Oryza sativa Japonica Group: one gene and its partners. The main gene of each other region encodes a partner of the protein of the gene in region 4 in a complex. Links are inferred from orthologs where the notes say so. Each region holds a gene or a part of one and is shown on either strand. Other genes may lie near its edges. The genes, in order: small ribosomal subunit protein cS23; small ribosomal subunit protein uS13c; small ribosomal subunit protein bS6c; small ribosomal subunit protein uS17c; rps8; 30S ribosomal protein S31, chloroplastic; rps4.

The links.
Region 1: small ribosomal subunit protein uS17c (region 4) and small ribosomal subunit protein cS23 share a complex: the UniProt entries of both Arabidopsis thaliana proteins name them as parts of the 30S ribosomal subunit. The link is inferred for Oryza sativa Japonica Group from reciprocal best matches to the Arabidopsis thaliana genes RPS17 and PSRP3/1.
Region 2: small ribosomal subunit protein uS17c (region 4) and small ribosomal subunit protein uS13c share a complex: the UniProt entries of both Arabidopsis thaliana proteins name them as parts of the 30S ribosomal subunit. The link is inferred for Oryza sativa Japonica Group from reciprocal best matches to the Arabidopsis thaliana genes RPS17 and EMB3137.
Region 3: small ribosomal subunit protein uS17c (region 4) and small ribosomal subunit protein bS6c share a complex: the UniProt entries of both Arabidopsis thaliana proteins name them as parts of the 30S ribosomal subunit. The link is inferred for Oryza sativa Japonica Group from reciprocal best matches to the Arabidopsis thaliana genes RPS17 and AT1G64510.
Region 5: small ribosomal subunit protein uS17c (region 4) and rps8 share a complex: the UniProt entries of both Arabidopsis thaliana proteins name them as parts of the 30S ribosomal subunit. The link is inferred for Oryza sativa Japonica Group from reciprocal best matches to the Arabidopsis thaliana genes RPS17 and rps8.
Region 6: small ribosomal subunit protein uS17c (region 4) and 30S ribosomal protein S31, chloroplastic share a complex: the UniProt entries of both Arabidopsis thaliana proteins name them as parts of the 30S ribosomal subunit. The link is inferred for Oryza sativa Japonica Group from reciprocal best matches to the Arabidopsis thaliana genes RPS17 and PSRP4.
Region 7: small ribosomal subunit protein uS17c (region 4) and rps4 share a complex: the UniProt entries of both Arabidopsis thaliana proteins name them as parts of the 30S ribosomal subunit. The link is inferred for Oryza sativa Japonica Group from reciprocal best matches to the Arabidopsis thaliana genes RPS17 and rps4.

Annotation. Positions count from the first base shown.
Region 1 is NC_089038.1:23,519,838-23,524,360, forward strand, and holds small ribosomal subunit protein cS23, read left to right. Parts: upstream 1-1,740; 5' UTR 1,741-1,792; coding exon 1,793-2,062; intron 2,063-2,906; coding exon 2,907-3,188; 3' UTR 3,189-3,350; downstream 3,351-4,523. Other genes in the region: transcription factor MYB106, read left to right, coding at 1-773. UniProt on the Arabidopsis thaliana protein: Component of the chloroplast ribosome (chloro-ribosome), a dedicated translation machinery responsible for the synthesis of chloroplast genome-encoded proteins, including proteins of the transcription and translation machinery and components of the photosynthetic apparatus.
Region 2 is NC_089037.1:29,173,170-29,177,941, forward strand, and holds small ribosomal subunit protein uS13c, read left to right. Parts: upstream 1-1,880; 5' UTR 1,881-1,974; coding exon 1,975-2,073; intron 2,074-2,767; coding exon 2,768-3,007; intron 3,008-3,390; coding exon 3,391-3,567; 3' UTR 3,568-3,782; downstream 3,783-4,772. Other genes in the region: uncharacterized membrane protein At4g09580, read left to right, coding at 1-5, 433-564. UniProt on the Arabidopsis thaliana protein: Located at the top of the head of the 30S subunit, it contacts several helices of the 16S rRNA.
Region 3 is NC_089037.1:36,415,923-36,420,709, reverse strand, and holds small ribosomal subunit protein bS6c, read right to left. Parts: upstream 3,186-4,787; 5' UTR 3,154-3,185; coding exon 2,740-3,153; intron 1,849-2,739; coding exon 1,603-1,848; 3' UTR 1,299-1,602; downstream 1-1,298. Other genes in the region: uncharacterized protein, read left to right, coding at 396-439, 515-739, 913-931; uncharacterized protein, read left to right, coding at 4,356-4,787. UniProt on the Arabidopsis thaliana protein: Binds together with bS18 to 16S ribosomal RNA.
Region 4 is NC_089038.1:35,900,092-35,904,011, reverse strand, and holds small ribosomal subunit protein uS17c, read right to left. Parts: upstream 2,141-3,920; 5' UTR 2,072-2,140; coding exon 1,634-2,071; 3' UTR 1,180-1,633; downstream 1-1,179. Other genes in the region: transportin-1, read right to left, coding at 3,047-3,130, 3,231-3,290, 3,367-3,435, 3,513-3,564, 3,628-3,752, 3,843-3,914. UniProt on the Arabidopsis thaliana protein: One of the primary rRNA binding proteins, it binds specifically to the 5'-end of 16S ribosomal RNA. Required for optimal plastid performance in terms of photosynthesis and growth. Required for the translation of plastid mRNAs.
Region 5 is NC_001320.1:75,632-78,898, forward strand, and holds rps8 (ribosomal protein S8), read right to left. Parts: upstream 1,478-3,267; coding exon 1,067-1,477; downstream 1-1,066. Other genes in the region: rps11 (ribosomal protein S11), read right to left, coding at 1-207; rpl36 (ribosomal protein L36), read right to left, coding at 382-495; infA (translation initiation factor 1), read right to left, coding at 607-930; rpl14 (ribosomal protein L14), read right to left, coding at 1,617-1,988; rpl16 (ribosomal protein L16), read right to left, coding at 2,098-2,499. UniProt on the Arabidopsis thaliana protein: One of the primary rRNA binding proteins, it binds directly to 16S rRNA central domain where it helps coordinate assembly of the platform of the 30S subunit.
Region 6 is NC_089039.1:5,295,486-5,299,619, reverse strand, and holds 30S ribosomal protein S31, chloroplastic, read left to right. Parts: upstream 1-2,090; 5' UTR 2,091-2,136; coding exon 2,137-2,320; intron 2,321-2,538; coding exon 2,539-2,603; intron 2,604-2,687; coding exon 2,688-2,855; 3' UTR 2,856-3,246; downstream 3,247-4,134. Other genes in the region: pseudo histidine-containing phosphotransfer protein 2, read left to right, coding at 325-455, 570-638, 882-953, 1,052-1,124, 1,232-1,282.
Region 7 is NC_001320.1:43,833-47,640, forward strand, and holds rps4 (ribosomal protein S4), read right to left. Parts: upstream 1,584-3,808; coding exon 978-1,583; downstream 1-977. Other genes in the region: photosystem I assembly protein Ycf3, read right to left, coding at 1-5. UniProt on the Arabidopsis thaliana protein: One of the primary rRNA binding proteins, it binds directly to 16S rRNA where it nucleates assembly of the body of the 30S subunit. With S5 and S12 plays an important role in translational accuracy.

The DNA of each region.
Region 1 (4,523 bases), about 12 Mb from region 4:
GGTCGGCGATCGCGACGCACCTGCCGAAGCGCACGGACAACGAGATCAAGAACTACTGGAACACGCACCTAAAGAAGCGGCTGGCCAAGATGGGGATCGACCCGGTCACGCACAAGCCGCGCTCCGACGTGGCCGGCGCGGGCGGCGGCGGCGGAGGTGCGGCCGGCGGCGCGGCGGGCGCGCAGCACGCCAAGGCCGCGGCGCACCTCAGCCACACGGCGCAGTGGGAGAGCGCGCGGCTCGAGGCGGAGGCGCGCTTGGCTCGGGAGGCCAAGCTGCGCGCGCTCGCGGCCTCCGCGACCCCGGGCGCGCCGCACCTCCCGGCACCCCCCGCGTCGGCGGCGGCGGCGGCGGCGGCTCACGGCCTCGACTCGCCGACGTCCACGCTGAGCTTCTCGGAGAGCGCGGTGCTCGCCACCGTGCTGGAGGCGCACGGCGCCGCCGCCGCGGCGGCCGCGCGCGCCGCCATGCAGCCCATGCAGGCGTACGACGAGGCGTGCAAGGACCAGCACTGGGGCGACGTCGACGCCGCCGACGTGGGCTTCCCCGGCGCCGGAGCGGGGTTCACGGGCCTACTCCTCGAAGGCTCCTTGAACCAGATCCCGAGGCCGGCGGGGAGAGACGCGGAAGCCGACGGCGAGTTCCAGGAGACCGAGGAGGAGAAGAACTACTGGAACAGCATACTGAACCTGGTGAACTCCTCGTCGGCACCTATGTCGACGGCCGTGGTTGTGCCCGCCTCCCACGCGTACTCGCCGGCGCCGGACTTCTGAGCGGAGAAAACCTCGCCGGCATCAAACTTGATTCGATCTCATGACACAGTAAATAGTTTAGCAATGATTGTCGAATAAGATGGGACTAATATTAATGTTAGTAATTATTAATCACGTTCTTGGGTTAACCTGACAATGCTTTCGATTAAACTTGTGGGCAAGAACTTCAACTGTTCAAGGCTGTATCGACATTTGAAATTCGATGCTTGTTTTGTTCGGTGTTCTTATAGAATGTGTAAAACACTGAAACTACTATCAGAGAATGTAGCATCCTTACTTGCAAAGTTACTACTCCTGCTTGTTTTTTTTCAAAACTTACGATCATTTCAGTACTTTGTACCCGGTTCATTTCATTCCACTATCAGTTTTTACTACGCCCAAGCGGTTGGCAACTGGGCACTAGCACTACTGAAGGCCAGGGTTTCCCAAACCACCGGACCGGGGTTACCACACGGTAACCGTGTAAAATTTATCAAAATTTAAAATTATTTTTTAAATTTATTTGAATTTAAGGGGGTTACCGCGGTTTCCCTTTTACCGTACCCCACGGTAAGCGCGGTAATCGCACGGTTACAGACGGTTTTGCAAACCCTGCTGAAGGCAAACGGACGGCCTCATCTTTTCGCTTATACTTATGTTTATCAGTCAAAATTTAAATTTTTACCTTTAAATTTGGGGTTGATTTTATTTTTTTTATCGAAGGTTTATTTTTCAGTCTTTGCTTTTAGATCGTTAAAAATATATATATAAAAGATTTATTCACAAATTATTTTTTATTTACAAATATGCCATTTCGTTTATTCTCGAATAACCGAGACGATTGAGCTGTGAGCTTTTTACTTAGATTGGATCTGGGCCGGGCCGTTTTGTGCTGGGCCATATTGGGCTTTACCATAACTTTCTAGCCCACATCTAATAGCTGACGAGAAGGGGATTATTAAGGGTAAAGATAAGAGGAGGCAGCCCCGCACCATCGTCTTCCTCCTCTTATCCGCACAGGAGCCTCGGACTCGGACACGATGCTGGCGATGTCCGTCCACCCCGCCGCCACGCCGGCCCTCGCCTCGCGCGCCCGCATCTCCCGGCCCAAGCTTTCCGCCGCCTCCCCCTGCACCACCTCCTCCTCCTCCACTCCACGCCTCGTCCACCTCGGCAGCAGGAGGCTTCCCCTTCGCTCGCTCCGTGGCCTCGCCGCCGCCGCCGCTTCTGGCGCCGTCGAAGCGGAGGAGGGAGAAGAGGAGAAGCAAGTCGGAGGTGGGGATGCGAGCGCCGGCGAGGAAGCGCAGGAGGTAATGGGCTAGTAGCCGCTCCAAACCATGCCAGTGACTGAAATTACGGGGTTTTTTTTTTTACCGAGTCGAGCTCAATTTCAGAAGGAAGTGTTGTTTTTTGAAGAGGATGGAGTTCAATCACATTTGGTTTCGCATGAATTTGATTTTTCTTGAATCAATTTTGGTTACCGAACTGATTACTTGAGCTCATAGGTGAAATACAGTACGAGGTGTACATTTGGGTGAATTCACGAGTAGAGTAAATCTTTAGACACAATGCACAGCTGAAAGCTTAAGAGAAGTCACAAGTAGAGTAAATTAGAGAAGTTCTAGTCTAGTTGAGCATGTTTGGGCACTCGGGCTGTCCTTTTGGTGCAGTTTTGCACTTCTGCAGATAAAAGGTGTATGCTAGTGATGAAGAGGCGAAGAGCACATGAAAGCATGTCCACAAACTTGAGCGTGTGCCATTTTTGGTTGTATGTGTAAGCAAGAACTGAACTATTGAACAAACTGTAGCATTGACAGGTTTTGGTCATGAAAGGAGTTTTTTTTCATTCAGCTATTTACGTGATTATGTAACAACATTAACAGGCACAATAAGTTCCTTTTTCATCACTATATCAGATTTCAGAGATGTACACTAAAAGTGGATTAGTTTTGATTATATGGGAGTTACCCTCACAGTTGAAAAATGGGGCCTTTTGTAGAGAAATGAAGTTGTCAATGGAACACGTACAGTAGTTGTTGCAATTTATTTTACTACGACTTGAGCTGTGTTAAAACTGCACAATTTATTTTACTCAGATATGCAAAATCAGTATTAGCATTATGAGATTTGAAACGAATTGATTTTGTATCGCAGTACAAGGTTAAGGTGCCTGAAAGGCAGGATCCAATGCTTGTTCTGAAGTTCATATGGATGGAGAAGAACATTGGCATAGCCCTCGACCAGTTGGTTCCCGGCTATGGCAGCATTCCGTTAAGCCCATACTACTTCTGGCCACGGAAAGATGCCTGGGAGGAGCTAAGAGCAAAGCTGGAGGAGAAAGAGTGGATCTCTCAGAAACAGATGATCATCCTTCTGAATCAGGCCACTGATATCATCAACCTTTGGCAACAGGGTGGTGGCAGCTTGTCAACCTAAGAGGATATCTCAATTCTCCCATCCTTGAGAACCTTGTTTCTTTTTTTCTTGCTTTGGTTACACGGATCTTTGTTGTTACATGACCCTGTAGATCGATTCAAACTGTTTTCGGATACGGTTTTGTTTATGGAAATGAATTGTGATTGATCTCTGTAAGGTAAACGATTTGGGCTCCATCATCCGCAGGGAAGATTGCTAATACCTCTTGATACTACTATACCATGATCCAGTTAAATAAATGTAACTCGATATTTTGAACTTGAAGAAAAAGGGGAATTTCTTTTCTTTCGAAGAGATTTGGGGTCACGGGGGCATATACCCCTTCTACTGCGATTAACTAACACCGGTGATGCCCTGAAAAAGCCCGGCCCGCTCCGCGCACCACGAGCCTAGGCCGTCCACGCGTAGGCCTCTGCAAAACGGGCTGCGGCAACGCGTGAGCCTGTGCGAAACGAGCGTGAAAACGCTCGTGGACTCGTGGAGTCGTCGTGGTGCCCGCGCGTCGTGCTGCGACGCTCGTTCTCACGCCGCATGCAGCGCCGCGCCAGCTTGGTCACGGTCTCAAAAGCGTTCAAAAGGCATGGGAGCAACTGAGCAAGGCGTAGCAGCTTATCATCATCTCGGCCAAGGGGGGAGGAGGGGCAAGGCACATGGAGGCGTTGGGTTGGAGTTGGACCTCCTAGGTAGGGAAGCAGGAAGCTGGACTCGCTAGGAAAAAAAATAATGGAGAACCTGTACCGCGTGTACCAGAAGATAAGCTTATTTAGCAGTACTGATTTTTTTTTTTCTAATGAAAGGAAACAGAGTATTGTTAAGTCCCAAAGAGATAACTTATTTTTTTCCTCTTCGACAACGTAGTACTAACTTAGTACTAGTACTGTTTTCTATGATCAAAGTAGAATATTGTTAAGCTAGCTAGCACTACCAACTGTCCTCCCATAAGAAAAAGGTAAGTACTACTACTATAGTAGAGACTGACCAATCAACTCAATTGTGTAATGCACTGCTCAGATGGCATCTTTACCTTCTTAACACTCAACTTCCTTACAGAGTAACGTGCCGCTTTAGGCTTTATTACTTGCGATAACCGGAGAGAGAGGCTGGCAAAGTATACGTAGCTTCCCTATAAAGTTGTCCAAGTTCATCGCAGAGCTCCAGGCAGGCAGTATAAAAATGGGAAATGTACACCTGAAAAGGACGAATCAGCCCCATTTGGGAATCCCCTGCACGGCGTCAATCTCGTCATCTTGCCCTTTTCTTCCCATCGACCTGATGATTGACACTTGTGGCCTCTGGGGATTAAACTATTGCCACCATGGGCGATCGATCGATCGA
Region 2 (4,772 bases), on a different chromosome or scaffold from region 4:
TAAAGGTAAATACCTTCTCAATAGTAAATTTAATGATCGTATTGCCTTCTCAATAATAGGTTTAATGATCTTATTGTTTGACTCAGCTTTGCCTTTACTTTAGAGCAAGGCAAAAATCTCAACTAGAATCCATGTTGTATGTTAAGAATTCGCATTAAAGATGGGCTAGTGCTTAAGTACTGATTCAAGTATCATGATTTATTATCTTAATACTATAGCATTGCTCTTTTGCCAAGTTTTCGGGCACAACACTACAACAGGAGATGACGGTGTATTATGTTTCATGAACTGTCTTTGCACTTTGCACGTCTTCTCCGTTGACTTCAGGATTTACTTAGTTGTGGACGGGTTTGGTGGTTGATCTGATTGTATTATCTGTTTCCAGTGATACCATTTTATCTACTCATCACCATTCTTACTGCTGTCTTGCAGGCTGGTAGGGCACTAGGCGATCTAAGATCACTTAGGGAACTGTATGACTCAAAAACACTAGTAATTCTATTCCTCATTGGAACTGTTGCTGTTGCTCCAACGATTCTGAAAAGGAAGAGAATATACGAATGATGCCACTAAAAAGCATCTAAACAGTGTATTAGTAGAGCACTCCAGAAGTGTATTAGTTTTTTTTCCCTTTCTTTGTTGATATTGTATACCTATTCAATTTAGCTGTAGAGATGTAGTAGTAACATGATGAATGTTTTCCTCAATAATAGATGACGCTAAGCTGTTGCATCTGTTGCCCCAATGTTCTTATAAATCCCCACGTCCCAATTAACGATGCGGTGGAACTATCTGGTTGTTGTGGTTTTACAGTAAATCTTACTGCTCCCAATTGGATGGGCAACCTTATCCGTCGTTTTGAAATGATGTGTTATTTGCCACCAATTGTCCTATTATCTCCATTTATTTTATTTTCACTTGAGACATTTCTGCAAGATGATATTCAGAACGTTCCCCACAGATTATCCTAATACAAAATGCAATACGAATTAAACTTACATTTAGTAGTACCTAAACTGTTACATCTAGGATTATAAACGTGCTGAAATTCTTTATCCTCCCACAAAAACCCCAGAAATTTATATTCAGAGGAAGCTTATGCAGTTCTTTATCCTCCCACAAAAACCCCAGAAATTTATATTCAGAAGAAGCTTATGCAGCATAGCTGATCCTAAAGGCTACAACATATTCTTCTTTTTTTCCTAGAGAGAGGAGAATATTTTCTTTCGTGTTTACTCCCTCCATCTTAAAAAAAAGCTTAAAAAAAAGAAAGTCAGGAACATAACTTAAAAAAGCTTTAAAAAAAAAGAAAGTCAGGAACATAACTTAAGACTGTGTTCGGGAGGAACTCACCTCTCGCGCACGTAAAACGGAGCGAAGCATTTTCTTATGATTAATTAAGTATTTATTAATTGTTTTTGAAAAATGATTTTTTAAAAGCAACTTTTGTGTAGAAATCTTTAAAAAAACACATCGTTTAACCGTTTGAAAAGCGTGCATGCAGAACACAAGGGAGATGTGTTGGAAAAAGTGGGAAAAGAACACAGCCTAGTACTAACTTAATAGCCTAGTACTAACTTAGGGTGTGTTTAGTTCACGCTAAAATTGGAAGCTTGATTGAAATTAGAACGATGTGACAGAAAAGTTGGAAGTTTATGTGTGTAGGAAAGTTTTGATGTGATGTAAAAGTTGGAAGTTTGAAGAAAAAAATTGCAACTACGGCGTTATCTAGATATGGAGTACTCCTAGCTTGTTCTTTTTTCTTTTTCTTTTTTTAACAGAAGGAGTAAACTAGCGACTTGACCTGTTTGGGCCGTACCCTGCAAGGCCCAACCCAAGAAGTCGCCGATACAGTGGTAGCCTACAGGTGCGGCTACCTTATCGGCTTCCTTCCCGTTGGGTTCTATCCGAGACAGCACCGAGAGCTCCGGGAGAGAAGCGCACGCACCTCCGTCCCTCGTCGGGAGCGCAGAAATGGCGACCCTCTCGATGGTCTCCGTCCCCATCGCCACCTCCTCCCTGCCCCTCTCCGCCCGAGGCCGCAGCTCCTCCGTCTCCTTCCCCGTTCCCAAGGTGAGAAGCAAAGCCACCCCTCCCCCCGCCTCCCCCCTCCGCGCCCACTTCTTGTTCGGCCATTTGCTCGCTCGTCCTGTTCCTTGGTTCTGTGCGATTGATATGTGATTCACGCATGACGCATCGTACATCCGTATCACTTATTGCAACTCAACCCCTGGGATCGTTTTGTTATCTTTGCCATCTTGGAGGTTGGGGAGGCTAGTGGCCGTGCTTTGTGTACTACAGTACTAATTTTGAGTATGTGCAATTCAGTAGTTTTTTTTCCGTGATGTTGGAAGAACAGTGTTCCTGTGCAATTTTAGAATTATTGGCATCTGTGAGGAACTAGTATTTATATGCTTGTATGCTTATGAGTTTGAATCTCTGCCCCTAGCACATATCATGTTGGAAGAATGGATAGTGTTACGAAGTAGTATTTCTTTGGACAGCAGAGTGTATATGTAATTCATGTAGGGACTAGGAATAGCAAAGAAGGTTAATTATGCATATAGGATGTAAAAAGAATCGTAATTCCTTGTTAGTACTCCCTCAGTTTCATACTATAAGTAGTCAAAGTTCTTTAGGTTTGACCAAGTTTAAAGAAAAAATTTCCCCACCCCATTATCTTTACTTGCCCAGTCATTTGTAGGCCTGTGCTTTTAACTGTGTTGTGGTTTTGATTCTTTTTTTTTTATTATTGGGTACTGGACAGAAAGGGGGTATTGGTCATGGTGGCCTGCGGATCGAGTGCATTCGTATTGGTGGAGTGGAGATCCCGAACCACAAGAGGGTAGAGTACTCACTGCAGTACATCCATGGCATTGGGCGGTCACGCTCCCGTCAGATCCTCTTGGACCTCAATTTTGACAACAAGGTCACAAAGGACCTCTCCGAGGAGGAAGTCATCACTCTCCGTAAGGAGGTTACCAAGTACATGATTGAGGGAGACCTTGTAATGGCCCTATCCCTTGCTAATTCATCACTTAACTTTTTTTCTGTAATTTTGGTGATTAGTATGGTTACCCTACTTTGGTACTTCCTCCGTTTCACAATATAAGTCATTCTAGCATTTCCCACATTCATATTGATACTAATAAATCTAGATAGATATATATGTCTAGATTCATTAGCATCAATATGAATGTGGTAAATGTTAGAATGACTTACATTGTGAAACGGAGGGAGTAGCATGTTGAAGATTCCTTGAAATTTGGTACCCTTAAACTGATCGTTCTGAAAAAAAAAAGACTCTGTAGTTCTTTTCCCATTTCTGTCATCGTGGATTTATGTTGTGTTGCTAAAATAGAGTTCTGATGTGTTTGCCATGCTTTACAGAAACGGTTTAATCGTGTGGCGATTGAGAGGTTGAAGGAGATTAGGTGTTACAGGGGCATCCGCCACAAGCTAGGGCTGCCAGTTCGTGGACAGAGGACGAAGAACAATTGCAGGACGCTGAAGGGAAGGAGGGCTTCTGTTGCGAAGAAGAAGTCGCCTGCTTCCCAGGAGGAATAAGACACATTGCCATGTATTTACCTTTGGTTCTTTGCCTCTTGTTTATTTTTTGTGTTCTGCTTGACCACGCTCTTGTCTGGTATTATGAGATTTTATGTTGGTGTCGTCATAGATGAATCACGGGTTGTGATCTGTCACTGAAAAAGTTATATTTGTCACCTGTCTTACATGAACTGATGCTAAATTAAGGTTATACTATGTTTTTCAGTCCATCATCTTGCTGTCTCTCTTCTGTTGTCATATCTATGCTTGACCGACCTGTTCCTGATGAATTAACGTATCGCCAGTTTTCTGTCCATTTGTTCCACATGCCACCGTCAGATCTAATGCCTTGTTAACTTTACAAGCTGAAAGAGGAGTATCAGTGTAGCTGAATAATAATATTAGGAACCTGCCTTGCTGATAGCAGCAGACGGGGCTTTTAACTATTTGCCACTCTTACGAATGGTGCTTAACGATTTGCTACTAGACCCACATGTCATAGACACATGAGGGCCCACATGTTATTGGCAGGGTGTGGCAAATCGTTAATTGCCATGTCACAAGAGTGGCAAATAGTTAAATTTCCCGCAGCGGACACCAGTCGAGATTTTGGTTTTTTGTGAAGAGATGATTTAAACTTGAGTTACCAATTACCATGATTACCATGCGTGTGGTTGGAACATGGAACTTTCTGGAGAGAGCTGCTCGGCTCAATCTTGGCTTGTTCACTTTGTTGTCCAAATCAACCATACCAAATTTTGTTACATTTCGGTACTACTGGCTTTGTTTGGTTTGATATCTTACCAAATTTTGGTAGAGGTTTAAGAGGAAGCTTCTAAGACTCCCAAATTTTGGTTTAGTAGTAATGGTTGAAGTATGTTTACTTTATTGTTCTATAAAAATTTGGCAATACCGAAATTTGGTAAAGTTAAGTGACAAAAAAAACAGACCCTTAATAGAGCGACAACAGAAGAGCCATTACAACAAGAAGAAATGAAACGTTGTACTCAGAAAAATTAAAGATAATGATGCTCTAACGGTCCTGCTTGTAGAGTTGTAGGGATGTTGTGTTTCTTGTTTGTCAATTGTCATATGTCAGTGAGATCAGATAAACTAACAATTTTCTGGCAAGCTGACAAAAATGTGATACAATTTTTTTAATTATAAGATATCCATTGATTGATCGATTGAGCACGTTCAGATTTCAGAAACAGTTCGGTTTA
Region 3 (4,787 bases), on a different chromosome or scaffold from region 4:
TGTCATGTACAGTTGCAAATGTAAGCGTAGGAGTGTGCAAAACATGGTATGGACAATCATGTTTACTTAATTGTGTCAAGCTGCTCATATAATCTGCTTAGTATTATGTTGATCAGAAGCTGGAGATTGTTTTCTGCTGGGTGATCCATATTTTGTAGAGATGGTGATAAATAGTACCGGTTAAGTTACTCTGAAAGTGCACTCCTTTTGCCATCTTTTACTGTAAGTACTAAGTTTGTAAATTAATTGCTGGAGCAATTTAACCGTAATGTATCTCTTGCACCTTTTTTTTATATATATGTTACTTTTTTTCCTTTATCTGTTTCCCTCCTATGCAAATTGGAGCCTTGATATCATGATTTTATCATTATAAAATATTCTATGCCGCCTTCCAGGAGGAGAGAAGTAAAAGAAGGAAGGCACCTGAAGATGACAGGCGGTATGTGCTTTTCCATCCTAGTTTCATTTTCATGTAGTGTCAGCATAATCTGAAAGTACATGCTGTGCTCATCAGATCAAGAGAATACAGCAAGGACCGCAATGGTCAGGCATCCAGGGATAGAGATTCAGAAAGAAAGGACAGAGTTGAACCTCGAGAAAGCAGAAGAGACCATGATCGTGATCGGGATAGGCGCCACGATAGGGACCGCCGCCATGATCGCGATCGGGATAGAGATTATGACCGTTCGCGTGGCCATGATTCAAGGAGAAGGGAACGTTCTCGATCCAGGGAGCGCAGGTATGGTTCAATGGTTTCTTTGCTCACTTCTCTCTGCCTTTCTTGTATAGCGATTTATTCCGACCATAAACTTTTGACAGTATAATGACAAAGAAACACAATGAAATTATCTGCTTTTGATATGGAAACCTTTATATCACTAGGAGCTAACATTAGACAGTTGTTATTTTCAGGCGCCACGATAGATACTGAATCTGGTGCTCCATGATGGCTGATTTTGGAGTATTCTGGTTTTTCTACATGATACTTGTGGTCCTCCGAGATATTGTGTTTGTTGAGCTTTTACTGAAGAACTCTGGAGCATGGATATATGCCGTCAGACTGTGCTGTATGCATTTGTTTCTGACCTACTATGGTTGGCCAGCATATACTACTTTATATCATACTTATGGTGTACCAAAGACGATTTTGTGTTAATCAAAACTAGTTTTTCCCAGCCATCAGTGTGTTTTGCCCTCTTATCAGCTAAATGCCCTGGTAGTCTTGATGTTAAACAAATGATCAAAACTCAACAAATGAAATGCACGGTAAGGCAGCCTATAAATGAAATGCCATGGCGTACAGGAAATGAGCCCTGATTTTGTTAACAGCATAACTTGTTCCAGAGGCCCCAGCAGGCCATGCTCCACAAAAGTGTTCGTTCAATATCCCTTAACGTGTAGGAGTACCAGGTAAGATCAGAGCAGTGCTATAACGAAAAAAAAGGAAGACAAATTTCTTCTAAATTATCAACAGAAAGGGCGACATTTTTTCTCAACGATTGCAGCGAAAAACCAATCTCCTCCCATGGCAGTAGGATTCTTGTATGATATAAACATATTCCCCAAAACATGGAAACCTGAGTCCAGGTGGTGAAACTGATCTTAAAAGGCTTTCCGCTTGCGGACCTTGAAACTGGTTGAGCGGATGACATCGTCGTCAGCATTGAGCCTCATTTGCAGAGCATCCAGGGATTCAGGCTTGGTGAAGTATGTCACAAGGAGGTAGATTCCGTCGTAGTAGGTGGATGGCAAACCAGTCCTGCTGTTCCTCTTCCTGATGCTGTATGCCAGTGGGATGACTCCTCGGTTGAAGACTTCCACATACATGGCGCCACCCGCAACAAGGAGCTGCAAGACATGCGAAAAACCACCATAAGTAACTCAGTAAGCAAATTGCAGATAGGTTTGTAGCAAGTGAACATCTTATGGAGTGAAGTCACACTTCAGGATACCATCAAATTTAAGGTTACAGAATGGGCAAGAGGCTTGATTGATCATCAACCAAGACAATTATGGGACAAAAAAAAAAAAAGACCAAGGTAAACTTGAATGCGTGTTAACTGGTGATTGCTACTACTCCTACTAAACAATGCAGGAGATTGTGCGCGCAGGATGGAATGATGGATATATAATAACAAAACTATTTTTTTGGTAGGTTCTGTAGTAAACGTATGTTCTACAGCAGAAACAATTTTATGCTTCCTGTATCTCCACTATGACATACGCAAATAATATGGGGCTGTAGCTGTTGACCAGAAAGTATACATTTGCAACAAAATGATTTGCTTCAGCTTCACCTACAATGACTGATATATGATTTTAAGCAATGTTAATGACAGAACGAGCCAAATGACAGCATTTTTAATAAGAAACAAGTATGCCATTAACTCATCCTGGTTTACCATAAACTGGGAAAAGATGACAAGTTCATGCATTGGCCAGTACAAACCTTCCTAGAAATTCATGTCAACTGCAGGAGCAGGTCTGCAGCATAGCCCAAATCCAAAATGCATTGGCGTCTAGTCAATGCAGCTAATTATTTACCACTAGTAGTGATTTTGAGTTTTACCAGTGTGCCATAAATTCAGCCCGATTTACCATAAACTGGCAAAAGATAAAATTCTCATGCATTGGCCACTACAAATCTTCCTCGGAAATTCATGTCTACTGCAGCAGATAGCAAATGCATTGGCGCCTAGTCAGTGCAGCTAATTATTTACTAGTAATTTTGATTTTTACCTCCTCGTAACGCTGTATGAGGGCGAGGCGCTCCTCCTCGGACATGTCGGGGCGGAGCACGACCATGGTCTCGTACTGGCGAAGCCCGGGCGGGCACGGCGGCATCTCCCGCTCCTCCAGCGCCAGCGCCGCCTCCGCGGCCGACATCCCAAGCCCACCGCCTCCTATCCCTAGCCCAGCACCGAACCCCGAGGACGAACCCTCCTCATCCCCCACCTCGTCGTTCTCGCCACCGGCCGCAGCCGCCGCCCCGCCGTAGAACCCCGCGGCGTATCCGGCCGACACCACGCGCGCCACCCGAGCCGCCGCCCTGCGCGGCGCGACGCGCAGGCGCGAGCGCGAGGGCGGGAGAGTCGGGAGGAGAGCGGTCGCCGCGGCGGTGGAGGAGATGGAGAGCGCCATTGGTGGCGGCATTGGAGAGCGAGCGCGAGAGAGTGGAGGTAGGCGAGGTGTGTTGCCTTCGTGTCCAGTGGATAGATAAGGATAGGATTTTTAGATGGAGGCCCATTAAACCGGTTTTTGTTGGGCCGGGGTTAGTGGGCCAAATGGACCGGCTTTTGATTGGCCCAGGTAAAGGTTCCAGCCACTTCGCTTTGCCTAAGTTTTTTCATTTTTAAATTTTTATTTTTTAATATTTACAGAAATATTGTACGGCGAAAACATTTACAGAAGTAGATCCCGAGGGCGGCAAGGTGATGTGAGGACGGACAAGATAAAAAAAACTAGAAAACTGTATTTTTTACAAGGTGAAAATTGCATTATATCTCGGTGCAAAATACGCACACCTTGCCACCCTCCACTTAGGGAGCGTTCGGCAGGAGGAGTTTGTGAGTTAGTTTGTTTCATTTTTCGCACGCACGCTTCTCGAACTACTAACGGTGTGTTTTTTGCAAAAATTTTCTATATGAAAGTTGCTTTAAAAAATCATATTAATCTATTTTTAAAGTTTAAAATAGTTTATACTCAATTAATCATGTACTAATAGCTCACCTCGTTTTACGTATCTTCCCAATCTTCTCTTTTCCCCTCCTCTCAAACTCACCCTTAGGTGTCAGGGGTAATTTATGTAAATATTTTGGATGGTATAATATTTTTTAAATATTAAAAAATAAAAATTTAAAAATGAAAAAAATTCTCGCTTTGCCTCTGACTTCGTGTCCAGCCGACAGTATAGCTGAGCTGGCAGTCCGTTCGTGTCACTGCAAGTGGGCCCCACGCCGTACTTGCTCCACGATAAGCTCGTGCTCTGCTCTGCTCATCTCTCCGCGTGCTTCTTCTTCTTCTCTCTCTAAATTTCTCCATTCCGCTCGCGATCTCCACTCGCTTCGTCCAGATCTCCGCATCAACCCACAGGTAAAGTAAGAAAAAATCAATCTATGTTTCTTTCTACTTGCTCTCGCTTCGTTTTGGAGGATATTTGTGCCTCAGATCTTGTTGCCGTGTGTAGCCTAGCCGTGTAGAATAGGAAAGAGAAAAGAAAGCAATCTTTCTTGTGATCAAGTCTTTGGTGATTCTTGTGGAGTTAGCAATGGCGTGCGATCTGTTTGCTTGATTTGATCTTGCTGTGAGATCTTGATTCGATCGCTTGTTGTTGTTGCTACCTGAAGTTAGCGAGCATGTCGTCTTCGTCGGAGAACCCCACGGTGACGGAGCGTGGCGGCGGGAAGGACCGCCGGGACGACGACGGCGGCGAAAAGAAGGAAGGAGGCGGGGGATTCATGGAGAAGGTGAAGGACTTCATCCACGACATCGGGGAGAAGATCGAGGGGGCCGTCGGCTTCGGCAAGCCCACTGCCGACGTCTCCGGCGTCCACATCCCGCACATCAGCCTCCACCGCGCCGACCTCGTCGTCGACGTGCTCATCAAGAACCCTAACCCGGTCCCTATCCCGCTCGTCGACATCGACTACCTCATCGAGAGCGACGGCCGCAAGCTCGTCTCCGGCCTCATCCCGGACGCCGGCACAATCCACGCCCATGGCGAGGAGACCGTCAAGATCCCCATCTCACTCATCTACGACGACATCAAGAGCACCTACAACGACATC
Region 4 (3,920 bases):
TTAAAAAAATTTTTAAATAAGACAGACGATCAAAGTTAGGTAAAAAAAAAATATGGCTGCACTTAAAATGGGACGGATGGAGTACATCCTCAGTGTTTTGTTTGGTCAGAATAATTAATATACCTGTGGCAGAATTACCGACCAGATGTAACTATTATACTCACGCACTTGCACTTCACAATCTCGGTGCATTGCCCATCTCTACTGATTTGTTTGACCTTGCCAAAATAGTCGCCTCCCTCATCTTTATCTGCCTCGCTTCAGCATTTGCATTCGTCATCAGATAATTGATCTTCCTATTTTGTCCCAAACTTTCAGGACAAGTATCACAATGCTGGTGATCAACAGATCATTTGTCAGATGTTTCATTTGAGTCTTCCTCTTCCTGGGTGCAGTTCCTGCCTGCCTGGTAATTTTGATCAGCTGCTGGGGCTGGCGCGTCGCATTGCAGTGGAGATTTTCCTTTGCTGGTCTGCAGCCAGAGATTAGTTTTCTCACACCTGATACATCCCGGGCCATCAAATCTTGCAAGTTACTTACAGTAGTAGTACTACACTAGAGAAGTTTTTCCGAACCAAAGAATACTACTATTTAGATTGTTACAAGGCAAGTATTTTTTTGCCAATTTAACATGCAGCTGTTCATGCGTTTCTTGCACATTGGAAATCAAAACGTTGATTCGTATTTGTACTTGGATGGGCAACACGACAAATGCTAAACTGCAGAATGCAATGTCTTTCAATAACGTTGTAAAAGTAAAATCAGGAAGTGAAACAAAATACAGTGATCCTTCACAGGAAGAGATAATTGCTTCCATTAGCCTTGGGAGACTGGGGTGGACGATGCAAGCAAAGTATTCAGGCTCTTCCTAACCACCGCCTTTTATTTTTCACGTGCATGTTTTTTTAACTATTATATATTTTTTTAAAAAAAATAAAAGAAAATTGTTTAAAAGAATATATTAATTTTTTAAGTTTTTTTAAACTAATGCTTAATTAGTGTACTAGTCCATCATTTCGTTGTGCGTGTTGGGAGAGAGCGCTTCCAAGTTGTTCCAACCATCACAAAGAACACGCCCAGCAGGAGCAGGCGATGACTGACTGTTTCTCGTGTTGCTTGACCGTGCAGCATAGGTCAAGGGGTTTGTTTCTCTATAATTAATTTAAGCGGACAGTTATGTAGTAGAATTCTACCAGTATCATGTATAAACAAGTTTCCCGGATGGTTTAAAACAAATATCAAATTGAAATTCTCGAATCATATTAGGAACCATCACAATGAAACCGGGAAGCTTGCTGAAGACCGGGAACGTAGTTCGGAGGTGTTGTATCACTAGTCGAAGGTTATTGAGTTCTTTTAGTCTTTCGATGCTATAGAAGCCCTAAATAATTTCTTCGATGGGATGGGGGCTAGGATAACAGAATTACACAAGCACATTCTACTCTAGTAGCATTATATTGGTAGTATGGTTTCACTGAGTAACAACATGCATATGAGCAGATGAAATGAAAAGGGAACATAGCATTGCTGCTGGGGAAGTTCGAAATCCAGAGCAAATAAAAATCAATGGAGTACATAGTACAGCACAGATTATTACATTACGAATTTACGATTACGGGAGAAGAAAAATCCATCAATCGGAGGAAGGAGGAGGCGTGGGTGGCTGGTCCTGGTCTTGGGACTGGGACTGGGACTGGAGAGGCGGGAGGAGCTGGGACTTGCGGCGGGTGTCGCGCGGGGGGAGGGGGACGGCGAGGAAGTGCTTGGTCTTGGAGATGGGGCGGGAGCGGCGGAGCTCGACGACGTCGCCGACCTTGAACTGGTTGTCCGGGTCGTGCGCCTGGTACTTCTTCTTGATGCGCTCCCGCCGCTTGTACTTTGGGTGAGGAGCCAGCCGCACCACCTCCACCCCCACCGTCTTGTCCGCCTTCGTCGTCACCACACGCCCCGTCAGCTGCTTCGCCGCCTGGATCCTCAGCGCCGTCGCCGCGCCCGCCCACGGCGAGGCGCCGCTGCCCCCATTGCCCTGGACCCTCACAGGGGACGACACGAACGGGGTGGTCAGCAGCATCTTCAACGCTCTCTCTTCCTTGCTATCGTATCCTTGGCTGCCTCTCCACCCGTGGAAGCTCAAGAAGAAGCTGAGCCTGATGGACGGGTAGGGGATAAGGTTTCCGGTCGGACAACCCAGCATAATGGGCTGGCTACTGCAACATCACCGGCCCAGCCCATTTGAAAACACACTAGCTACTGTATGTATGCGTGCGTTCGTCTTGAAGCCGGATGGAAATGGAAGGTCAGCCAAAGCAAGACAAATGTGCTCATAACTCGCACTACCCAGACGTTAGGAGTAAGCGATATGCCGCTACATAGGCCTACGAATCTCAGGCTTGGATGATCAGGAGTATTTTCTTTTACCATATACCCTCTCAACTCACCTTGAACATCAGGCTCAAAGCTTGTTCAATCTTCCTTTTGTTTCAGTCTCAATGTTTGTTCAATACTTTTTTTTTATTGGGGAATGAATCAATACAACCCTGTCGAGCACAAAAGGAAAAAAAATAAAATAAAAGAGAGAAGACCCTACACCTAAACTCTTGGACCCATAAAATACACGCTACAAAACCTTTCCAACAACTCTATGTTGCTGCTGGGGTGCCAGTGCCAGTGCCAGTGGAGTGACAAAAAAACAGAACCGAGTCCACTGAACTGACCAGTACAATAGAACCTACAATCAAGCACAGCTCTTCGACCCAATCGACTCAATAAACCAAAAGGGAAGGTACTAGCCTTCATTCTGTCTGTCGTGGTAATTCTTTCTTACCACTCACTTGTGCTGAGGACAACGCACATGATGCTCTCAGACAGCAGTCCTGTGCGAACCAATATATCACTAGCAGTGGAGCATACAAAACTAACCGGCCAGAATCCATCACATCATAAAAATCACACACTGGCGCTGCACGATGAGTTCCCTTTCTTCTCTTTGCTTCCGTCCCAACGTATAGTAAAGAATAGACAACCAAAACAAATTCCGTCGGTATCCTCATACTCCGTATCTGCCTAATCTCTGAACGACCGCTGGCTCTAGGGTGGACATGCACTGTTCCCAACCCCCACTTCCGAGCATCTATGGAAAATGTTTTTTGTTAGTTTGTTGCATGTACGGTACCGATACAGAACCGCAATGAGGAATCGTTTTACCCGCCCTAAGAAAAAAAAATATATACCTGCTTGTATCCATTCAAAATCTGGCACACTTCATTGTGTAAACCTTCACTCTTTATCTCCTGTATAAACAAATATCGTGAGCTTCGGTGCAGAATACTGGTGCAGAAAGCATGTCTAATATGACAGGAATCTCACGTTCCAACTTGCACAGGCCTGGCAGATAAAAGTTAGTGAACCCACAGCTCCAGTTGGGTTTGCTGCTACCTAGTATAGAATGACAGTATTTTGTGTAAGTCAGACAGCTTTGTAAATTGTAACAGTAAGCAAAAGCGTGGATGTACCATTGCACATAGACCATGGAATGCATCCTCTTTCTCAAAATCATCTCGTATCCTGTACATGACGAAAATTAGATCCATAAAAGGGCACCAGAGAGCTTAAAGGACAGACACTTACATGCACAAGGCATTGCACCAGGCTTGCATGAAATGGTCCATGTGGGGGGCCACAATGTCTGGACAGACCCAGCAAAGCCTCCCAAGAGTGATTGCGCTATTTTCGAGAAGTGACTTATTCAAGCCCTGTAATAGTATGTCAGGACACACGAGGCATTTAGCTGAAATGCTCACTCGAGTAAAAGACGTGATGAGAACAACTTAAAATGCAATTACCTCAGGAGATTTTAAAATAGGCACCAAGCAAGAAACAACAGTGATAACCACAGGTGAAATTTCTTTGCCAATCTGGAA
Region 5 (3,267 bases), on a different chromosome or scaffold from region 4:
GAATCCACAAGTACCCGCGGAGGACCAGAAAACCACCCGACCTTGCGGATCTGTAACAGTTATAATAGTATTGTTGAAACTAGCTTGAACATGAATAACTCCTTTTGTTATTCTACGTGCACTCTTCCGTAAACTAAAACGCGCATTCCTACGCAAACCAATACGTACTTTCCTACGTGAACCAATTTTTGGTATAGCTTTTGTCATATTTTATTATCTCATAAATATGAGTTAGAAATAACAAAAAGAAAAAAAGATACAAAGATATCCGTTTCAGGGTAAAATATATCCTTTACTTGAATTTTTTTATTTGGAATTTGGACATTTTCGCGGGTACTTTTTTTTTTACTTTTTAGAAAGTCAAGTTCTTTTTTCGAAAGATTACCCCTGTCTTTGTTTATGCTTCGGATTGGAACAAATGACTCTAATTCGTCCACGCCTACGAATCAGTCGACATTTTGTACAAATTTTACGAACAGAAGCTCTTATTTTCATATTTCCGTATTCCTTTCTTAAACTATGAATTTACTCTTTTGGAAAAAATAAGTCTCTTTGTTTGAATTTTAGAACTTTGAATTTTTTACCCTAGAAAAAAAAAAGAAAAACCTAACCCTTTGAATCTTTGGTATCCTTCAAATCTTCGGTATCCTTCGAGTCTTCGGTACGCTTCGAATCCTTATGGGGAAGTCTATAAATTATACGCCCCTTGCTTGAATCATAACGACTTACTTCAATTTTGACCCTATCCCCCATCAGTATTCGTATAGAACTAGACCGGATCTTTCCTGAAATATAGCCCAGGATGATGGTGTCATTCTCTAGGCGAACGCGGAACATTCCGTTGGGTAGGGCTTCCATAACTAAACCCTCGAAAGTAATTTTTGCTTCTCTCGGGTTTTTTTTTTCTCTCCTATTTTTCTTTTCTGTCATATTTTTTTTTCTCCTATTTTTCTTTTTTTATTTTCAAATAAAAAAACGTTGTATTTTTGTTTGAAAAATAGGAAGTTCAAGATAGAATTTGGGTACTATAACTATAGGTGGGGCGATTACCGCTATAGGCGGGCGATTACCATATATAACATAAGACTTCTCCCCCAATTCTGTTTAGTCGAGCTTCTCGATCTGTCATTATACCTCGAGAAGTAGAAAGAATAGCAATTCCCATTCCGCCCAAAACCTTAGGAATTCCTTGATAGTTGGCATAAATTCGTAAGCCAGGTCGGCTGATACGCTTTAAAAAGGTTCTAGTTCTATATATTCCCTTTCTAGTCTTTCTCTTTTGATGTCGCAAAGTTGAAACCAAGAAATATCTGTTACTTTCCTGATGTTTCCGAACACTTTCAATAAAACCCTCTCGTAGAAGTATTTTAACAATGTTTTCGGTAATATTTGTAGATACTACCCGAACAGTTCCTTTTTTATTCATGTCCGCGTTTCTTATAGAGGTTAGTAAATCAGCAATAGTGTCCTTGCCCATAAGACTCTAATTCTAGGTTCCTCCTAATTTTTCTATAATCAACATGTTCTCTTTTTTCTTTTCGTTTTGGATTCTAAAGCATATACGTGAAACACAATCTACTAATTTTTTATTTGATCTATATCTTGTCTACTAGTATTTATAATACTTCAGGAGCTAATGAAACTATTTTAGTAAAATTCAATTCTCTCAATTCCTCGGCGATCGCGCCAAAAACGCGAGTTCCTTTTGGATTTCCTTTTTGATCAATGATAACCGCTGCATTGTCGTCATAGCGTATTATTATACCGTCTTCGCATTTGAACTCTTTACATGTACGTACAATTACAGCTCGAATTACTTCGGATCTTTCTAGAGGCATTTGGGGCACTGCGTCTTTGATTACAGCAACAATAACATCACCAATACGAGCATATCGCTGATTACTAGCAGCTCCTATGACTCGAATACACATCAATTTTCGAGCTCCACTGTTATCTGCTACATTTAAAAGGGTCTGAGGTTGAATCATATTATTTTGATTTCAATTTGTTATTTCAATGCAAAAGGATGAAAGAAATATTGTCTTTCCAGAAAGAAGAACCTGGTTTTTTATTTTCAATACTACTTTTTTTGGGGGGTTATATTTCTAACCGAAGAAATTGACTTCGTATGGGCATTTTGCTGGCAGCTATGGAAATAGCTCGTCTAGCTACAGTTTCGGATACTCCGCCCATTTCATAAAGTATTCGACCTGGTTTAACAACGGCTACCCAATATTCGGGGGATCCCTTTCCCGAACCCATACGTGTTTCGGTCGGTCTTATTGTAACCGGTTTGTCGGGAAATATACGTACCCAGATTTTTCCACCACGACGTGCATATCGTGTCATTGCTCTTCGTCCTGCTTCTATCTGCCTCGCCGTAATCCAAGTGGGTTCAAGTGCTTGAAGAGCATATCTACCAAAACAAATACAATTGCCTCGGTAGGATTTTCCCTTCATTCTTCCTCTATGTTGTTTACGAAATCTGGTTCTTTTGGGGTTATAGTCGATGGTTCTCTCTTAGTTCCATCTCTACTGCAAAACTGGACATGAGAGTTTCTTCTCATCCAGCTCCTCGCGAATCAAATGAGAAAGTGTGCCAAATTTCTCTAATTCCACAATATTCTAAAATATTACGGATAGATACACATTAATAGGAAAGGTTAGGGTTTTTAATATTGAATTTATTAAAATACTAAAATATATAGTCAAGAAAGAGGATCTAGAATATATCTAGATGTGTATGTTTATTTATCTATATTCTATATTTAATGTAATTCTTTTTTTTTTTTTTTTTAATCTCCTTTTTTTATTTTACTCTTATTGAATCGCGGTAAAGTATTCTAATTCAATAAAAATTTCGCGGGCGAATATTTACTCTTTCCTGTCTTATTTGTTAATTCATAACCTTATCAAATAAGACAATTTTTTTGGTTTGTTCCGCCATCCCACCCAATGAAGTATTGGGATTCTTTTCAAGAAAATCCTATCCAGTCATAGGTTCTGTCGTTCCCACTGCTTCTCCTTTAATGGTTAGGTTTGAATCTCGCAATGGAGCTTCCAAAAAATTTCTTTCCGAGTCAATTTCTCAGTTTTATTAACTCGGGACGCTCTTTGTTATTCCTTGAAATTTGTATTTCTTGTTTCAATCAAATTACGATTTCGAATTCTCTGTTATTTTTATTATATTGATGCTTTATCACATTGCTTTTTATGATGTAATTCATAGACCATACATATTGAATCCTATATCTTTCTTATTTCTCT
Region 6 (4,134 bases), on a different chromosome or scaffold from region 4:
GCCTACTCCCTCCATCCCATAAAAAACCAACCTAGTACCGGATGCGACACATCCTAGTACTACGAATCTAGACATATATACGTCCAGATTCATAGTACTAGAAAATATCACATCCGGTTCTAGATTCGTTTTTTATGGGACGAAGGGAGTAAGTCACTTGCTGGAACCTGACTTTTTTTTTAATCTTTGACTAATTATATAGATTTACCCTTGTAAATTAGTACACTTATTTGTATTATATGGACTGCACAAAAGTTTTTTTTTTGGTTGTGTATTTCATGCTTCTTTCTTTTGCCTATAATCTACCTCGTGGTTTTCCTGCAGGGTTACCTTGATGAACAGTTTAATCAGCTGGAAGAACTGCAGGATGAATCAAGCCCCAATTTTGTTGAGGAAGTTGCGGCTCTGTTCTTCAAAGATTCATCAAGACTGTTGACAAATATAGAACAAGCAATGTAAGTAATATGTCTGCATCCACGATATGAATAGATAATTGATTTTTTGTACAATGATTACCCATGATTTGAAAGACATGACAATTACATTTACTTCCATTTCTTTTGATGCAGTGATAAATACCCTCAGGATTTCTACAGATTAGATTCTCTTGTGCAACAACTCAAAGGCAGCGGATCCAGGTATAAAACTGGGGCATATGCCCAGAACACAGAGTGAACAATATTCTTTTACAGGTCTCATCAGTGTAAAATCATGTCTTAGGTCTTAAATAACCAATATAAAAACATTCAAACTTAAGAATGCTTATTGATGTGAAATGAACAAATATTATTTGTTAATATGAATGTTCTCACCGAAAGCTTGTCATCTTTGCCTGCTTTATGTGTTCAAAATTCGCTAAAGTTGGCCTGTGTTTGGCGCAGCATTGGTGCACTGAGGATGAAGAATGAGTGCTCTGTGTTCAAAGTAAACTGCAATGACAGGAATCTGGAAGGGTATGCATTTCATTGACTCGTCCAACTTGTTCTTCACATACTATCCAATCATCATGCAATTTCCTCACATGATGTGATGAGGCCATGTTCTCTTTCAGATGCCGCAGGTCTCTTCAGAAGATGAAGAGGGAGCATGCCACTCTGAAGCAGAAGCTGGAATCATATTTTCAGGTATGTTGTACTACATCCTTGTCTCTCTCTCTTTCTGTTTACCTTATTTTCAGCATTGCTACATGGCTAAACAACTTGGTTATCTCCTGTTCCTTCTGCTGATGCAGTTACTGAGGCAAGTTGGTCCCCGTGATTATGCAGTGAGCTCAAGGAAGTAAGAAGAACAGTATGAGTTCCAAGGAAAATAAAGAACATATACATAGCAGCTATCAGTCTCTTGAAAATTCTGTCGCTGAAAAGTTTTTGTGCCAATCAGATACTCATAATGCTTAATGGTGCCTTTTTGTTGTGTTTGGATTGCATCTGTAGCTCCATAATCCATATATACTGTATGAAGTTATGTAAAGCCCTGCTTATGCACACTCTCCTTGCCTGTCTACAAAGTGCCATGAACTTGTGTTATTAGTCAGTAATTGTAGCAGAAAGTGTCATGGTACTAATATGAGCTTTTAATGTTTGAAACTAGTAATATGTAAACTAGTTTTTTGGGTTAATTAATTGCCCAGGTGCCATCATGGAAAACTATTTGTTTGTACTTTGTATACTCAACAAACGCTATAGTCACATTCCCAGAACCAAAGACACTTAAAAACACTGGTTTTTCATCTCTTCCACTAATATTCATAACAGTGTTTGAGCTTTAACCATCAATATCATTTTGAACGTTTCGATTTCTAAAATCTTAAAAACGTTATGGCTAGATTTGTCTTCAGAAGTCCTAAAAATATCATAACTTTGCTATATTCTTCATAAGTTTTATACTAGTAGTAATAATTTAATCATAAAAAAATGATTATCTATAGAAAAAGAAATGAGAGGACAAAAAAAAAAGAAAGAGAAACATCAGAATTGCAGAGGGCCAAGCCAATCATGGGCTTGGTCCATAGGCCCAAGAGACAAAGCCCAATCCATGGGCCTGGGCTTCCCTTTCCCTCCGTTTTATCTACTCCGATGCACGCACAGCTTATCCGATTCCATCCATTCCTCAAGCTCTCACTCCTCTCTCGCTTCCATGGCGCTCCTCGCCGTCCACGCCATGGCCGCGTCCCCGGCCACCTTCCCCTCCTCCCACCACCACGCCGCCGTCTCCTCCTACTGCGCGCTCCCCGCCGCCGCCGCATTCTCCCGCTCCCGCTCTCGCGTCGCCGCCGCCGCCGCCGCCACCCTCTCGGCCCCGCTCACTCCAGTTCTTGAAGGTAACTGACATGCCTACCTAACCTCCCTGTCTCTGTTTTGTTCGTCAATTCGGATTAGTCTGGTGTGAAATTGGCTCGATGATCTTATATGAAACTGCTTTTCAAATCGTATTGCACGAATTCAATTGATACAGCACCAAAACATAGATTGAAACAAAAACCTCGCAGTTTGAACCAATTACGATTCCAACTCAAATTACTCCATTTGGTGTGACCAGTTTACTGCGGGAGAGGGGACAAGAAGACCAAGAGGGGAAAAAGGTTCAACCACTCGTACGGAAATGTGAGTCTCTAGCACAAAAATAAAATTAATAAAAAAATCATATGCTTATTGCTTCCTGTGCTGCTGTTTGCTGCAATTCTTCAGACTTGCCATCTGCTGACTGCTGTTTGCTCATCTCAGGCGAGGCCGCGCAACAAGAAGAAGGGAACTGGCCCTGCACGGCTGTTCGCGCCGCCTGCGCCTCCGAGGAAGGACCAGTTCGACGACGGCGAGGTCACCCCGATCGACATCGACGATGACATCCTGGAATAGGTTGTCTGAATTTCCCCCCTTGAATTATGGTTTACCTTGAGCTTACCTTTTGTCTAGTCTGTACCAAACACTGTTTCTTGAAATTAATTACAGTACATTACATGGTCTCATTCTACATAATGTAGATGCCTATGATTTCTTTCCTTGTAATATATATGAATGGTGCTGCTTAGAGTCATTTTTTATGCATTACCAGCTGAAGCAGAACATAAGTACAGATACAATCACCAAACTTTCATGTTCTTGCTAGAAACCAGGGAAGATGCAGTATCTCTTTTTTTTTTCTTTTCTAGCTGTGTCCCTGAATTCAAGCACCTTTTGACATGCTTCGAATTTGTTGTGATGATCTGGGAAGCAGTTCTTAAGAATCAACTAATAAACCAGTCCATCAGATCGGGTCAGAAATCTGCCCCTTTTTTGTTGTTTTGTCTGTTGACTCTGTTATGCGCTTGAGTTTTGACACAAGAAATTGTTTTGATGATCTGCAAAACATATTCCTTTAAAGCTGGACAACAAACCAGTTCAACTGGTCAGCTTGGTGGTAATTGTATGTTAAAATTCTGTCATTTTTTGTTGTTTCGTCTGCAAGTTTGTTGTGAGCTGCTCCCCCCGCCCACAAGGGTAAGCAACTATCTCGCCCGAAATATACTACAATTTTGGCCCAAACTGGAAGTGTAAACCCTGCTACGCAATGGCTTTAAGAACCCTAAACCCTGAAGCATGTTTTGTTTGCTACCATTTCAAGCCATCACAAATTTTGGTAAGATAACGAACCAAATATGTTCGAGTATCCCTACCTTACCAAAATTTGGTAACGTACGAAACAAACCCGCCATCTGTTCAAAAATTTGGTGAAGTAACAAACCAAACATTTTCCCACAGTCCTAACATTTGATAAGTTCACACCTCTACAGCATATAAAAAATAGAGGGGGATAAATAGAGCAGTTGTCAGTTGTCACTTTTACTCAACTTCTGTTACTGTTATCTCTCCGAACCTAGAGGCAACATCACTTGTCTTCCACTGGACTGAAACCAGGGTCCAGTGTGATGCCAACCTGCTGCAAGGCTGCAACCTATTACAACAACTGAACCTCATGAAACAAGACATTTTGCTTTTCATTTTGATGCATTTTGATTTGAAGAATAAGGTTTTACCCTGATTCTGTTAATGAAACCATCATTTGGATTACAGAGTTTGCAACCAATGCACTAGATTTTTATATTAAGAAATACTAGGGTTCATTCTCATTTTTTTCAATCAACAGGACAACATCCAT
Region 7 (3,808 bases), on a different chromosome or scaffold from region 4:
GGCATAATTCCCAACCCATTCTATCATTCTATATAGAATTCTTTTCATTCCTTCACAAAATAACATAAAAAAAAAACAAATCCATTCAATTCTTATCAAATCGATCCCTATGCTCCAAATGGATAAGAGAGGTATTTCTGCTCAGCCCAAATTCTCTCTTTTTCCTTCTGTTTGAACAAGAAGAGATAGAAAATATTTGACTAAGATTGGATTTCATTCCACTTTCCTATTTCTTTTCTCAACAACAACTTCTCTCATCAACTATTTCGCATTTTCAAAAGTCATTAATCGTCCCATACCCTATTTTCTATTTGATTGTATGGGGTAGGATACCTTATGCAAACAGAATTCTAGGGTTCCTTTTTTATCGAATAAGAAGAATTCTTCCATTCTCTTTTTCTTTGGTTTGGGGAAAACCCAAACTAAAACTTTTCGAGGGAGCGGAATTCCTAGTAAAAAAATCCTGGACCCGTCCACTTAGATGAAAAGGAATTTTTCTATCTAATAGAACAATGGAACTCTCGCGCGGTTGTGGTTGTACCTGTACTGCAGGAATAGGAAAACTCGCTATTCACTCAGTTTTTTTTCCATAATAAGATTATGGAGGAGAGATGGCCGAGCGGTTCAAGGCGTAGCATTGGAACTGCTATGTAGACTTTTGTTTACCGAGGGTTCGAATCCCTCTCTTTCCGTTTTTCTTAATTCAGCAACGTTAATGATTACAATGTATCAAATCAAATGACAATTTATTCCAGCAATAATACAATACCTTTATTTAATAGAAATTCTCTATACCAAATTACTATGGTATGTAAAATACACATAGAGGAAAGAACAAAAAACAAAAAGGAATCCTAGGGTTAATCCATTTCTGTTAGGTGAATGGGAAAATACGAATTAAGAGCCTTAGGTCGATTTAGTTCGGGGAAAGGGGAAGGGAAGAAAAATTCTATGAACCTTTCCGTTTTTCCTTAAGTTCAAGTTTGACGAGAGTAATATTCTACAACTAACAACTCATTTATTTTGAGACCGACCCACTTCCTATCCAGGATTTTTTTTACTAGTCCTTTATATTGCAATGTGTCAATCGTCAAATGCTTTGGCAATTTCCCCGGGTCGGATGAAGCAATAGAATTTTGAACCAGACGTTTTGATCTTTGGTTATCCTTCGTAGTAATAATATCTCGGGGTTTGCAACGAAAACTTGGTATATCGACTATACGACCATTAACTAAAATATGTCTATGGTTAACTAATTGCCGGGCCTCGGGAATGGTTGAAGCCATACCTAATCGAAAAAGGATATTATCCAAACGCATTTCAAGTAATTGTAGTAAAACCTGACCTGTTGAACTTTTTGCTTTTCCAGCGATATGTACATATCTAAGTAATTGTCGTTCTGTCAGACCATAATGAAAACGCAATTTCTGTTTTTCTTGAAGACGAATACGATATTGTTCTTTTTTCCCAGAATGGAATTTCTTTTTCAGATTACTTCCGGATTTAGGTGTTTTTCTAGTGAGTCCTGGTAAAGCTCCCAGACGGCGTATTTTTTTAAAACGAGGTCCTCGATAACGGGACATGAAGACTCCTTTTTTTATTGAAATTTCATTTTACACAATTAATTTCATTGTATTTACATTACAGAATACATCGAAATTAAAACTGAATTAAAGTAAAGGATAAACAGAGTAAAATCTACTAAAAGTACCACAAAAAAATGGAATTTCATCAACATCTGAATTTTTGTATATATATTATTTATTTTATTGTTTTGTATCTAGCAAAATTGTAGGGTAGACCGACATAATAGATCCTGGCTTCTCCATTTAATTCGGAGAAAAAGAGGTATTTTTGTTCATGGAACATTGATAGAGAAAAAAGCCGACTATCGGATTTGAACCGATGACCCTCGCATTACAAATGCGATGCTCTAACCTCTGAGCTAAGTGGGCTTACATAACAGAAATAGTGTAACAAATAGAAATATGTATAGTATAGGAAATCCGTAAAATGTCAGATCTTAATTATTAATCTTAGCTATTAACTAGTTCGAAATTGGAAGTTCTACTTAGAAAAAAATACTAGAACTTCATAAAATAAAGTTAGATAGATTTTTTTGAACTTTCTTTTTTCTCTAATTCGCAAATCTATTTTTCTAATAGAATCTATTCCAATTTCTATATTGAATTTGATTTTAGATATTTTTAATTTGATATGGCTCGGACGAATAATCTAATACATGGAAAAGAATAAATAATATATATTATATACGAAAACATAATAAAGAGAACATGCGAATTTCTTGTATTTTCAGTCCATCATTATAGACATTTTTTGAGATTATTTTGTTTTTTTTTGTTATTTGCTAATAATTTAATGATTAATATTTCACTAAGGAGAACATAGAATCATAGCAAATGAAATTGCTAATTCTGATTAGCAAAAAAAAAGAATGAATATCAAGCGTTATAGTATGATTTTGAATACTCTAAAAAAGGAACGCGGTAGGTGGGGGAGAGAAAAACCTTGGGATATATTGATTCGCATTGAATTGCAAATACATCAACGATAGAATCAATTCAATGCTGAATTGCAATAAGCGGAGTCTCTCAACTAGAGACGAACCGCTAGACTACATAGAGTAATGAATTCAACGATTCAAAAAAAACTAACAGATGGAGGAAATTGCACAAGGAATCCTGGTCTCAAAGAAAAAGAAAATGGGGATATGGCGAAATCGGTAGACGCTACGGACTTGATTGTATTGAGCCTTGGTATGGAAACCTGCTAAGTGGCAACTTCCAAATTCAGAGAAACCCTGGAATTAAAAAAGGGGCAATCCTGAGCCAAATCCATGTTTTGAGAAAACAAGCGGTTCTCGAACTAGAACCCAAAGGAAAAGGATAGGTGCAGAGACTCAATGGAAGCTGTTCTAACGAATCGAGTTAATTACGTTGTGTTGCTAGCGGAACTCCCTTCTAAATTAGGGAAAGAAGGGCTTTCGAAATCTAATACCACGTATAGATACTGGCATAGCAAACGATTAATCACAGAACTCATATCATAATATAGGTTCTTTAATTCTTTTTTAAAATGAAAATAGGAATGATTATGAAATAGAAAATTCATAATTTTTTTAGAATTGTTGTGAATCCATTCCAATCGAATATTGAGTAATCAAATCCTTCAATTCATAGTTTTCGAAATCTTTTTAAAAGCGGATTAATCGGACGAGGATAAAGAGAGAGTCCCATTCTACATGTCAATACTGACAACAATGAAATTTCTAGTAAAAGCAAAATCCGTCGACTTTCTAAGTCGTGAGGGTTCAAGTCCCTCTATCCCCAAACCCTCTTTTATTCCTAACTCTAGTATTTATCCTGTTTTTTTATTAATAGGTTTAAGATTCAATGGAATACATTTCTTTTTTATTATAGTATCGGCAAGGAATGTCGATTATTAACTCGATATTTAAATATTATTAAATAGGCTTTCTTTGTACAATGCATAGGACTGCCCCCTCCCCATTTCCAAATTTTGGATATTGACATAGATACAAATACTCTACTAGGATGATGCACAAGAAAAGGTCAGGATAGCTCAGTTGGTAGAGCAGAGGACTGAAAATCCTCGTGTCACCAGTTCAAATCTGGTTCCTGGCACAGAAAAAAGGGATCTTCCGAATAGGTATTGATACAAATACCTCGAGATGGGTTGGGATACATATTCGTTAATAATATAGATAGAGTATGATTTTTTCATCTAAGTAGATAAATCTCTAAATAGAGGCACTTCTTTTTCTGCA